Drosophila melanogaster: one gene and its partner. The gene in region 1 interacts genetically with each later gene. Each region holds a gene or a part of one and is shown on either strand. Other genes may lie near its edges.

What was found. Genes that interact genetically often act in the same process or in processes that back each other up.
Region 2: of ple (region 1) and Ddc, changing one enhances a phenotype caused by changing the other (phenotypic enhancement), as found in Drosophila melanogaster (one study listed by BioGRID).

Annotation. Positions count from the first base shown.
Region 1 is NT_037436.4:6,713,485-6,721,301, forward strand, and holds the start of ple (pale), read right to left. Parts: upstream 6,042-7,817; 5' UTR 5,590-6,041; coding exon 5,521-5,589; intron 4,532-5,520; coding exon 4,420-4,531; intron 4,189-4,419; coding exon 4,069-4,188; intron 3,943-4,068; coding exon 3,850-3,942; intron 3,466-3,849; coding exon 2,646-3,465; intron 2,351-2,645; coding exon 2,224-2,350; intron 1,885-2,223; coding exon 1,486-1,884; 3' UTR 1-1,485. UniProt on the Drosophila melanogaster protein: Plays an important role in the physiology of adrenergic neurons.
Region 2 is NT_033779.5:19,115,941-19,121,892, reverse strand, and holds Ddc (dopa decarboxylase), read left to right. Parts: upstream 1-1,586; 5' UTR 1,587-1,783; exon of another isoform or gene 1,784-2,418; 5' UTR 2,419-2,475; coding exon 2,476-2,574; exon of another isoform or gene 2,575-2,651; coding exon 2,652-2,737; intron 2,738-3,764; coding exon 3,765-5,112; 3' UTR 5,113-5,410; downstream 5,411-5,952. Other genes in the region: CG10561 (uncharacterized protein), read right to left, coding at 5,481-5,952.

The DNA.
Region 1 (7,817 bases):
TAATTTTATTGAATTTTTCAGAACCAACGAAGCCTGGCTTGGGGACCAACTGCGCTTTAAGTTGATTATATATATAGATTTATGTGCGAATATAATTAGTAATTAGTTTGGCTAATTGCTTGCAGAAATGTTAACACTTGGTTGGCTTTCGATCCAATTGCAACTACAATACATCGAACAATAACAATAAAATTCCATGCTACGTTAACTATAAATATGTAATATTCTTGATCCCAATGTTTTACTTTGTTTACTTTGAAATATTTTGATTTTAATTACTTTATAATAATACATATGTATTGGTCCAAGGTTTTTCGTTATTTTATATAATTTCATCAAATTTGTGAAATATTTTCTACATAGCTCGATTTTAGTTCACATGAGATTCACTTCTTCTCACCCATAAATATATTTATCATATTCCTCGATTCTACTCATTAATTTTAAATAAATATTCCATTTTGATGTCATAAAATGTTCCCTAAACAGATTCAGACTTTAGAGTTTCGAATTGCCAAAGAAGATAATCAAATGAAAAAACCAAAGAGTAATTATTTTTCAATTGCATTTTTAATTTTATTAATACACAAAACTTAAATAAAATAATAATGTTTAAACTCTACATACCTACAATACAATACGTAATAGTCATAAGTATAATAATAGATAATAATAATAATAGTACACAATAGTAATATTGTCGTTTACAGTTATTGTACAATGTAAGAAAATTCTGTTTTGTTTTCCATTTCATTTTTTATCTTTTCCGTTTTTTTTTTTGTTTGTTTTCCATTTGTTCCTTGCTCGATTGTTGTATCTATATCATTTTTGTTTAGAAATACTCTCTCTAAATGAAGCTTCCTATACCGGGAATACTATATCGCGTGTCTATATAGTCTAGGTAAATATTGTGAGAGGCAAAATGAAGATAATAATAATACAAAAACAATTTTTGTCTGAGTATACAATCGGTTTTTGTGTGGTACTTTGCCTACTAAGTGCGGATGTATCTGAACTTTGCTTTCCCAGCTTTTCACTTCACTTAATTCGCTTTGCTTTGCTTGGCTTGGCTTGGCTTTGTTTTCACATCACTTAAACGTCTAAAGATTTTTTGGTCCAATAATAGTTGCGGTGATAAATATGCAGGTTGGGTGGTGTATCGGGTGATCAACAAATAAATATGCTTGATTTTTGTGTTTTTTACCATGTGCGCGATTCGACAATTACAACTTTTCGATGACAATTAAATAAAAATTAAACAAAAAACAATAAACAAAAAATAAAAAATAATGCGCGATGCCTTAATTTTGGTTTAAGGATTACGTGTACGAGGGATTGTGCGGTATGTCAATTTAAAATTAATTTGTATAAATGAGACCGTTGCACCTGTATGTGTATGTTTGGGTGGTGGGGGTGGCTGGTGTTTTTTTGGGCGATGTTTTTGGGTGCTTCTATATATCATACATATATCTCCCCCCCATCCACTTAGAACGGGCGTCGCAACTTGGAGATGGCGTTGGTCAGATGCAAAATCTCCGTGTTCATCTGGTGCACCAGAGTCTCCAGCTTGTCGACGGAGTCCAGCACCTCGACGCGCTCGGTGTGCGGGTTGAAACGCACCTCGAATGGACGCGACATGGTGCTCACCCAGCGACGGAACTTGTCCTTGGCATCCTCGAAGCTCTCGGCCACATAGTAGATGGGCTGGTACTCCTGATCCTGGTAGGGCTGCACGGCGGTGGATGCGGGCTCGAAGGCGCGGTGCTCGCACTTGTCGCTGATGGCATGGAGCAGCTCACCGTAGGAGCTCAGGAGTCCAGCACCGTAGGCCTTGATCTGACCATGTTCCTTGCAGAGACCGAACTCAACAGTGAACCAGTATACCTGTAGAAATGAAATGGTAAGGAACCAATGAGTAAATAGGAAGGAAAATAAAAGCAAAGGCAGATAATGCAGGAAGTTGTATGACTTATAAGATCAAGGTTTTCTGAACTTAAAAACTTATTTAAAATCACAATTAAGTGTTTTGAAATGCATTAAATTGTATCTGTAAACTATATGAATAAAAAGAAAAAAATTATTCTGGCATTGAAGTTCACTTTTCCTCTTCGACTTTGACAGTGACTAAACAATGATCTTGGTTGCGAAAAAAAACTAGCTGCGTCATAGCTGCACTTGAGTCTAAGGTCGTTACATTGCAACTCAATTAGAAAATCAACTCACCGTGGACAGCTTCTCGATTTCTTCGTCGGAGGCACCCAGCGAGGCCAGTCCAATCTCCTGCGAGAACTGGGCGAAGCTGGGATCGGCCAGCAGGGGCATGTGACCCAGCAGCTCGTGAATGGAGTCGCTGTAATGGCATAGAATAATGCTTGTTAAAAGTGTGGAAAATGTGCTGGCATAAGGCAATTAGTCTGGTTAAATGAGCTGGGCAGCCTGCCGCAGTTCCTGTAGCCAATTTGCCTGTGTTCCAGGCGACAAAAGTTGCTTGGGAAAAGCGGAAAAGGAAACCCAACCACCCACACACACACAGAGGCAGGCGGCAGGCAGGCAGGCAAATGCAATTAGGCTAGGACAAAGAGCCTTTTTCTCCCCTTTTTGAAGTGATTTTAACCCCCTAGTAAAATATGATGATAGATACTTACGGCTCGGGGGTGTGGTATGGTGAGTTAACGTGGCGCACATACTGGGTGCTCTGGAAGATGCGGAAGGCCAAGGAGGCAAGGAAGTCCCGGGCAGTCAAAAGACCGGCGGCAGGACGGAGAGAGAATCCGGTGTTCTTGCGCAGAAAGTCGGACATCTCCTGCAACTGGGGCAGACGGGTCTCCACGAAGATCTGCTCATCCTGGAGCTTCTGGAAGGCGGCCCGGTACTCGGCACAGGCGTGCTTGGGAGCCAGATCCTGAACGGTCTTGAACACCGAGCGCCAGGTCTTGACCTCCACATCGGAGTAGTCGATGAATGGGATCGGGTCTCCGTACTTGTAGGCGAATGCGATCTCGGCAATTTCCTTGCGACGCTGGCGGTATACCTTGTCGGCGAATCCGGGGTGGTTCATGTCCAAATCGGGCTCGTACTTGGTCATCAGATGGTTGCAGTTATCCAATTCGGAGGCGTGCTTGGGGAACCACGGAGCCTTGACATTCAAGTTATTGTCGGCCATCAGATTCATGCTGCTGAAGGAGCCCGACTGCCTGAGGGAGCGGATCAGCTGCAGCAGATTGCCACGGGTCATGTCCAACTTGATGAGGACATCGTGGTCCACGCCCTCCACGCGCGACTGACGGGACTCCACATGCTGGACGGTGCCGTGGAAGGTTTCGATGGCCTTGAGGATGCGACCCAAGGAGGAGATGCCCTCCTTGAGGCGGACCACCAAAGCGGCACTCTGCATGGCAGCCTCGGCATCCGAGGATTCGGAGGCGGCATTGGCCAACAAAATCTCGTCCTCGGTGAGACCGTAATCTGCAAAAGGGCCAAAAAAAAGCGGGGATAATGTGATGGTTAAGGATGCAATCTTCCAAGGCTTAGGGTCACGTAAACGATAAGCGAGCTACGTGGCAGTGGCAGTGAGACGGTTGCCAGGCAAACGCATTTCGTACTTGTATTAAGTCGAGCGTAACAAATGAAAAAGGGAAATGCGACATTTCCACAGAGAGAGAGAGAGAGAGAGAGAGAGCGAGCGAGCGCGCCCACTCACAATTGTCCGTGTGGCTGAGTGCTTTTCCTCTGCCCTGGCACTTTATCATATTAAGCACTTAAATCAATGTCGCACGCTTTTCAAAAGCCCCTCTCAGAAGTTAAGTACTACTTATGGTTGGCTGCTGGATTCTAGAACCCCCTGCTCACCGTTCTTGGTCGGCTGTTGGTTGCCTTCTGGCTCCTGCGACTGCGACTCCGACTGCTCCTGTTCAACGCTCTCAAACTCAACATCCTCCTCAACTAAAAGCGAATGAAATAAAAATAATAATAAAGCCCATGAAAATCATAATCAAAATCAAATCAAAGATAATAGGCTCAGAAAGAGGAGTAACTGGCATGGGAATTGAAATGGAAATGGATATTAACCTGGAACATATTCCTCCAAGGGCAGGTTCTCCAGATTGGCATGCTCGTCCTGGAGCTCCACATCTTGCTCGGAGGGAATGTGCTCCTGAGCCTGCACAATGCAATCTTCCAGGGAATCGTCTTTAAAATCATAAAAATAAAAACGAAGGCAAATAATAAATAAAGGGTTAAAATGAATAAGAAAAAAACGCAAATCTATGTCAAAACGAATAAAATGAAATAAAAATTGCAACTTTTTAAGTTTTTAATCAACAAGTAAAGCCCTAGCTGCAAAATTTCCCTTTTGATCCCAAATAGAAACCCTCTTTGGAGCTATTTTAGTGACCCACTTGTTGGACCCTATCCACTTACCATTTGCCTTGCTGCGGGCCTCCTCGAGGACGGTTTGTTTGGTCTGCTTGACCACCAGGGTCTCGAAACGGGCATCATCCACCAGGCTGCGACGGCGGGATGGATAGCCATTCTGGAAACGAAAGCGAAAAGATTGAAGTCCGTGTTAGTGACACTGGCAGGATGTGGAGCGGAAATTAGACGATTGCCTTGACCTTCAAGCCAGGGTGGCTTTCTTCGGCTCCACGCTTGGGTGGTGACTTTGAGCAGAGTATTGCGCAATTTTGAAAATATTATATAAAATGGTGTGTGAAAGCGCCGTCTTCAGATCTTTTTCTTTGAATAAAGCTGGCTATTCATGGAACTGTATTGATTGTGATTCAAAGCCACGAATGGTAATTTAATGCGATGTCGCCGCTTCGAAGCGGGCAGGTGCGAAGATAAATGATATGTGACTGAGAAATCGAAAATCCCCATGCGATTCTGGCGGGAAAAAAATGCAACTGGCGATCGTTAAAGGTTTTTTTTCTTTCTTTTTCTTGATGGGGGGAAAAAGGTTTCCATCACTTGCAGTTTTCACTGTCAGCTCGTTTTTTTTTTTTTTTGTTTGTTTGTTTTCTTCAGTTTTTTTTTTTGGGCCACCGCTTTGGCTGATGAAAGATGACCAACTCATTGAATCATTTATATTGATTTCATATTTTTTGTTTTGCTCGGACGCAGCATAAACATAAACAGAGACGAGTCAACAACAATGAGGCGCGACTGTTTCGGCCAGGCTAAGTGCATGGGGCCCAAAGGCAGCCACTTTCACTTATTTGTTAAATAATAACTTAACACACAACCCGTTGTGTCCGTTGGCGATTTGGGCCTTTCGATTTGGGCCGCCTGTTCTTAGAGGTGTGACTTAATGGCCAACCGAGGATTGAGTTTGGTCAAATTGAATTGGCGAAAAAGAAATGCGGGATCACAAAAATGGGCTCGACTACTGGCCGGTTAACTGGTTTTTTTTTGAAAACACAAAACCTTTAGATAGTCACGTAGACCAAATCTAGTCACTCATTTGCTTCTTTTTTTTTACAATTCGATTTGGAAATTGTATGTTTTGCTGGATTTTCGACTCACCTCAATACTGTAGGATTTCTTGATGGCGAACATCTCGCGGTTCTTTTGGGCTGCTGCAACGGCCATCATTTTTTTTTGTGTGTTTGGGTTGTTTTCGTTTGGGGTGAACAACAAAAATTTACGCAAAGTGTTGGCAAAAACACTTAGAATACTATTTGCTTATGTGCTTGGTTACGCTTTTCTTGTTTGATTTGCAATAAGCACTCGAAATGTGTTGACACTTTCACTGCTTATTGGCGATCTGGCTGGGTGGTTTTGTTTTTCAAGAAAATCGCTCCTGGTACTGAACTGTTTGCGTCTAGAATTGAGCTGGACAAGAACTCTCGACTCTCGAATTCACGGCGGGATATATAGATGGTTGATCGGTTGAACTTTAGCTGGATCCTTTCGCGAACTCGAAACTGATGTGGTGATGTGTATTATCCTTGTCAGCTAAATTGTATTACAACAAACAGAGTCAGCAAACTACTTGAGGCTGGGCACAAGTCTTTAGGGCGAATGATAGCGAATCAATGCATGCTTCATGTCGAGTTGCCGCCGCTTAAATACCCCCAGATTCCGATTCCGACGGCCAAGTTAACGAACGTTTCGGCCGATTGCCGACGATTGTTTGCTTCACCAAACGACGATGACTGGTTTTCGCATGACGCGACTGTGACGTAGTTGCCCAGCTGTAGCTGGGTTAAAGCCAAGATGCCGATGCCGTGGGGTTTCCTCTCACCAGCCAGCTAACCAGCTAGCCAGCCAGCTGAGTGGGTCGAGAATCGCGGGGCCTGACTCGACTCAACTTGGTCGACCAAGTTCAAGTGCGGCAACAGGCTAGAACGTCGCATTGGCCATGTTTTTGTTGCTCTTGTAGCTTGGCTAAAAAGCGGGGTTAACCATTAGCGCGTGCGCGTCAATCGGAATGGTGGTAGAATACCCCAAAAGTATTCAGTCAGTCGAACGGGAGTCATTTGAAAAGCCTCAACAGGTCATACAGAAAAAACCAAAACAAATCCAAACAAAGCGAAGCTAGTCCATGCCAAATGTTAAGCATACGCCGTGTGTGCACAGAGCAAAATAATGAAAATATATGACATTCTTACTCTGTAAGTTGTTTTAGGGAAATGTTTTTAACCACTAGAATTATTTTAAAGAAGTAGGTTAAAATTATTAAGAATGTTTTAGACAATAAAAGCACCTTACGTTTATGATACGTTCCATTTTTCTAGGTGTAACAACAGTCGAAGATCTCGTTCAGTTTTAGAACCCAGCAATTCGCATTAGATCCTGAATGACTCAATCGAATCGCGTCAGAACTAGAGCGGATGCTGAAGCGGATCGTATAGGGACCAAGTGAAAGTGAGCTGGAAAACAAAGTAATGGTAAACAGGAAGTACGGATCACATGGCTGCGTGCGTGCCCGAGATGTAAGTAGGTGGCACCCAGCCATATCGATTAAATTTTAAAAGCACATTTAACAACTAATTTGCATGCGTAAATGTAGCACATTAAACTAAGCCCGGGCGATAAGTACAGGCACATTACAATATCTATGGCATAATTGAAAGCCCCGTCAAAACATCTGGCGATTGGGATTTGCATATGGCAGCTGACGGATTACGAGACCGACCATATAGCAATCTATATAAATAATTATATATATATTCCTGTCCTGTAAGCTGATAACGTTGGCAAGGCTGCCGCCGCTTCTCAAATTGGACTCGGGCCGCCAATTCGAATGACATTTTCAGTGGCAGTGGCAGTGGCAGCATTATTTTCAATCGTGTTAGCTTTTAACCAAATTCAGTTAGCGGCGATGTCGAGATCGAAGCAAATTTGCCATTGATCTACATATGTGCACTTGTACTTGCCAACAATCCGGTCATCCTTGCAGCCTGCATCTAGCAACTAACTAACTAACTAATGCCGATGTTAATGCGGACCGTTCAAATTAGTAGATCGAATCGTTTGATTGAGCTAACGAGCCCGATAATGAGCTAACACATCACATATACGTCTATTTGCTTCGATCCGCATTAAGTTATTAAGGCATCTGGAGTAGCAAAAACATAATTATCGATCTGATAGATCCATTATACAAATTGGATCGATAGAGTGGGATTGGTGAGTTAATAAGTTTGTGGGAGCTAGGAAATACATTTGACAACATCGAAAAGCTTTTTACTTAGAATATCGAGGGTAATAATTAATAAATAGCACTTACTGGAAATAACTTAAATTATTTAAAAAATATAATACTATCCAACTAGCAGTAAACTGCGTACTATATTACCCATTAGTCACTGGCAAAA
Region 2 (5,952 bases), on another chromosome or scaffold:
ATATAGATTTAGACAAAATACGTGACCTATTGAAGCTCAGCGATGTGATGTGTACACCAAACACCCGCTCGCTTATCTCGGCCCTTGTTTACCCCATATGATGCCTGTTTATGCAATCCCCCTCTCAAAGGCGCCATTCGACCCCTATAAGCGGAGAATACTTTCGCATTCATTCGCAACTCAAGATGGTCATAAATCAAATTGTAGTATTCTTCGCCTCAATCGACCCGAACTCCAGCCACCCGTAAAGCAGCATAATGTGGGTGGGTAGTTGGGCGACTGGTGGCTGGTGGCTGTTGGCTGGCGTGTGGGTGGAGCACCCAGCGCATTAAAATCGAAAGCAGAGCCGTTGGCATGGCGTATAAATCTGTTGATTCAGCCAAGTGATTTGCCAAAGTGGCTTCGTTGAAATGTCAGGCACACGCACTTTGCTCGCACTCAGCAACAGTTGGACCACCCGCAGGATTCTCAGCAGCCCTACACTGAAAGAAATTATTTTCTTTTGTCGTAGGCTAAAAGTGTTTACTTGATTCTTTTAAATAGTAATTAAAGGAAGATAATGATTTTCCTGTCGTATTCCAATATCATTAGCCGAGCCGATATACCCATGTTTGTCTGTCCGTATAAACTTCGAGATTTTGGGAACTTTAAAAAAAAAAAACGGTCACGAAAACAGTTTTGAAAAATATTTTGAATTTTTGTATTATATCTCTCGATATATTTGGCATAAACATTTAAGCCACATATTTATTGTTTCTTGCCAATTTCTATTGATATTTCAACTGAATTTTGAAATTCCGGCCAAGTAACTGGCATCCAAAAGTCGTTAGCTTTCTATAGTAATTTTGAATTTTTCTCAGTGTATGCGGAACTGCCCGCTCAAAAGGCTCAACCTAGCCCACTTCCCCTAGCACAATGCGAAAGTGAGTGAGAGCATTGGATTATTTGACGTCACAATTCCATGAGCGGTTCAAAAAGCACGTCATATGTGGTGCTCTAATAACCGGTTTCCAAGATGCGCGTAAAGCGTGCCATTCCACGGCTTAATCAATTTCTTGTCTTTCCTACGAATATAACTTTGTTTACATTTTTTTGCGTGATTTTTTCTTCGGGGAGTCCAAGAAAAACCCTGTTTCGAGTGACTCATAATTGGGGGATTCCTGACGAGATCGCTCTCTTTCCACAAATTCGAGTTGGGAAGCACGTGAGTAGAATTCAAAATGTTTTGCTTGCTGTTTTAAATATCACTAGGTTCTCAAACTAATTTCAAAAATAATCAAATTAAGTTCACAGAGCTGGCAAATAAAATGTAATAGCTTGCATGTATGTATATATATATATTTTTTTAAATTCTAAATAAATCCATGGAAAATAAAGCCTTTGATATCCAGTTACTGATTCAGCGCCCAATTAATGCATGTTCCAAAAAAGTGTCAAAAAACGTGCACAAATCAAACGAGAGCTGAATTTGTTTTTACGACAGCGGCTGCGATTCGAAGTTCAGCGGCTGCGGACTGCGATTGAACCGGTCCTGCGGAATTGGCAGCGCTGCTGGACGGGCTTTAAAAGCCATGGCCAAGAGCGGGCAGCGCTCAGTTAAGAGGAGAACGCCAAGCGCACAGCAATCAGCACCGAAATATCAGCATCGAAATATCAGCAAATAAATATTAGCTGTTCTAAACCAGGAGGGCAAACTGAACTTGGAGCAAAGATTTAGTTCGGAACGGAAGTAAAGCTCGGCAACAAGTGCAAACAATTAAAAGCAGTTAACTAAAGTGCAACGGTGAGAGACGAAAGTGTGGCTCCTCAACAGCCTCAGCTGCCTGAAGTGCTTGGCCAACATAATGAGTGCATGTGCATGCGAAAGATTCATTTCGGGGCTAACGCTGCGTATACGTAATGTGTATCTAAAACTGGGCATATACTATAGCCTTGCTTCGGTTCAATTTGATAGTTCGGGCCCCGAATTCTATAGTGCTTAAGCTTTTCTCGGCTTTCGGTATCTGCATGCTTTTGTGTATCTATTAAAATAAGATTTTAGCTGGCAACAAGTCGTCGTCTCAATGCCAACTTGTTTACGTTGTTAAAATTGGAATTTAGAAAAAAAAAAAAAATAAAGCAGTCTTGATTAATGCAAGAATGCATTAAACATTCTAATTACCATACTAATTCACAGCCTATACTTAAGCAGCGCACTCGATGGGAAAACGCTTTAAACTATTAATACCTTAATACCTTATTATTATAACTATTATCATCATCGTTTTGCCTATCAAGTAATTAGTATTCAATGTCGTTCATTTGTCGTGTTTGCAGCGATAGCATTTTTTGTTTGAGCTGCTGCACTGATTAGCACTATCTTCAAAAACGCACTTCTATTAATAACACTTTCAATAATCGCACATTCTTTCATATTAGCTCTAACCATTCGAGTTCATATCATTGCAAAAGTCAAACGAAAAGTAAATCTCTGAAATGAGCCACATACCCATTAGTAACACAATTCCAACAAAACAAACTGATGGTAATGGTAAAGCTAACATTTCGCCGGATAAGCTGGATCCCAAGGTTTCGGTATGTCTATTGGGTTTAGGTATAGAGCCAACAATTATGCACGTCTGATAACCAAATACTTTTGCATCCACATCAAGATCGACATGGAGGCGCCGGAGTTCAAGGATTTTGCCAAGACAATGGTCGACTTTATAGCCGAATATCTGGAGAATATACGCGAAAGGTGAGCCAGATTAAGACTCCCTACTCAATTAGCTTGAATTAAACTTAATTTAGCGTATGAATTTCATTTATATGGTATCAGAATCAGTCGCTTGACCTCAGCATTTTACGTTCGAATCGAAAGTTCGTTCTGCTCGATTCGAATCCCCGGGCAAGTGAATGACATTTCGCACACGTTTTGAGATTAGTCACGGGAAAGTCGCACCGATCGGACATTTCCATTGCTATATATATCTATATATATATATCATTTTGTTTAGGGGGTTGAGGCGACCTTCCCATTAGCTCGAGGGCCAAGTACTTTCGCTGCTCTTGGGCCGAAAACTAATTAATTAAATGGCTTTGTTGAGTTGGCGTGTCAAGGTCGTTTTTCATGTATACGAGTATAGATATAATTGCACTGCTAACGCCTTGGCCAAAAGCAATTCGGGTATTTCACTATTCTTGGGCAATTCTTCTAACGGCTTCGTTTCCATTACCTTGAAAATCAAAGTCAGCTAAGTAAACAATTTTCTTACTACAGCTGCTGAGTTTGTTTGCCCATCGACAGTCGCTGAAATTAATGGTTAATTGAAAATCAAGCTTAAGTAGAGCGTAATATAATAATTCATTTTGCTTTATTAAAGTTCCTTCGACATTGAAGTTTCAAAACTATTTTCTTAGTTAGATAACTTTTTAAACGAATCTTTGTTAATTGAAGATACATATATATAGAGAAATTATCTTTTTATTTTCTTTTTTCACCTCTTAGTAGTACTTCCTTTTAATTGAAAGGATAGAAAATCCCACCATCATTATCAGCATTGCCTCTCTATCTATATTCTGTTCCCATAGCAATTTGCTACATATTCGTATTGATTTTCATGGCAGTGGCAACAAGTTGGGGGTGGTTGGATGGGTGTCCTTCAACCCCAATGATTCCTGATGCCTTTGTTGGCTAACTGAGTTTCGCAGCCAATTAGCAAGGAGCTTTTACTGAATGGGCGCCAAAATGCAATCAGAAGCTAACGCAATTTTCGCAATTACAGGCGCGTTCTGCCGGAAGTGAAGCCTGGCTACCTGAAGCCATTGATTCCGGATGCTGCGCCCGAGAAGCCGGAGAAGTGGCAGGATGTGATGCAGGACATCGAGCGAGTCATCATGCCGGGCGTGACACACTGGCACAGTCCCAAGTTTCATGCCTACTTCCCCACGGCCAACTCGTATCCAGCGATCGTTGCGGACATGCTGAGTGGAGCGATTGCCTGCATCGGATTCACGTGGATCGCCAGTCCCGCGTGCACGGAACTCGAGGTGGTCATGATGGATTGGCTGGGCAAGATGCTGGAGCTGCCGGCAGAGTTCCTGGCCTGTTCGGGCGGCAAGGGTGGCGGTGTCATCCAGGGCACGGCCAGTGAGTCCACACTGGTGGCTCTGCTGGGAGCCAAGGCCAAGAAGTTGAAGGAGGTGAAGGAGCTCCATCCGGAGTGGGATGAGCACACCATCTTGGGCAAGTTGGTGGGCTACTGCTCGGACCAGGCTCACTCATCCGTGGAGCGGGCTGGTCTTCTGGGCGGAGTAAAGCTCCGTTCCGTGCAGTCCGAGAATCACAGAATGCGTGGTGCTGCCCTGGAAAAGGCCATCGAACAGGATGTGGCCGAGGGTTTGATTCCCTTCTACGCGGTGGTCACCCTGGGCACCACCAACTCCTGCGCCTTCGACTACTTGGATGAGTGTGGACCGGTGGGAAACAAGCACAATTTGTGGATCCATGTGGACGCTGCCTATGCCGGATCCGCTTTCATTTGCCCCGAGTATCGCCACCTGATGAAGGGCATCGAATCAGCAGACTCTTTCAATTTCAATCCACACAAATGGATGCTGGTGAACTTTGACTGCTCGGCCATGTGGCTGAAGGATCCCAGTTGGGTGGTCAACGCGTTCAATGTGGACCCTCTTTACCTGAAGCACGACATGCAGGGATCAGCTCCGGACTATCGTCACTGGCAAATCCCACTTGGACGGCGATTCAGGGCACTGAAGCTCTGGTTCGTCCTCCGGCTGTACGGTGTCGAGAATCTCCAGGCCCACATCCGCAGACACTGCAACTTTGCCAAGCAGTTCGGGGATCTCTGCGTGGCGGACTCCAGATTTGAACTGGCCGCCGAGATCAATATGGGATTGGTCTGCTTCCGGCTGAAGGGCAGCAACGAGCGGAACGAAGCTCTTCTCAAGCGAATCAATGGACGCGGCCACATCCACTTGGTTCCCGCCAAGATCAAGGATGTCTACTTCCTGCGCATGGCCATTTGCTCGCGATTCACCCAGTCCGAGGACATGGAGTACTCGTGGAAGGAGGTCAGCGCCGCTGCCGACGAGATGGAACAGGAGCAGTAAAGTGGTTGTGCAGGTCTGTTCCGTGTTTAGTATATAAATTAATATAGTAAACTTAAATTGGACCAGTATGATATATAATGCATTGTGACTTGGAACCCGGAACAGACCATACACTTTCCACTTGCGACATGTTTAGGGAATTTACATCGCAACAAAAGATGGTTCGTCCATCGCTACATTATATTTATAGTATCCTATCATTGTATCATTGATGTTGTTCATGATTTTTATTGTTAACGTTATGCGCCTAATTAAAACAAATGTATTCTGCTTAAAAATACAAACGAATTGTAACTATAAATTTTGACTAGTTTTCGTGTTGATATACACTGTACAATTTAGCAGCCCATTCGGATTTCCCATTGCACTTAACCGCAGTGCACGCTTTTCAGATAGTAGTCAATAATGCGTTGGGCTTCTCGGATGCCACTGGACCTGGCGGCATCAATGGTTCCAAAGCCTCTCAACGAGGTTGCATCCCCAGCAAAGAGCAGACCGGGCGACTTCTCGCCCAGCGGAGCGGCCAGTCGCTGGACATCCCGGGCACTGCTGTTGGTGGAGAAGTAAGGACGACCGCCGAGGTAGCAGGCCGACGTACTCCAGTTGGAACGCAGCAGTTCCTGTGGGTACGGCACCAGGTGACTGCTCACGCAGCGCCTTAGCAGACCAGTTATCTGCTCCAGCAGCTCCTCATCGGGCAGCTTCTCGATCTCCTCGTAGTATCCGCCACCCACATGCACCTCCAGCACATGCTGACTGCTGGGCACCTGGCTGATCTCCACGACCTGCTGCGTCCAGTTGCGTTCGGGTTGCTGCTCCACGGAAGGATTCAGAAGCGTT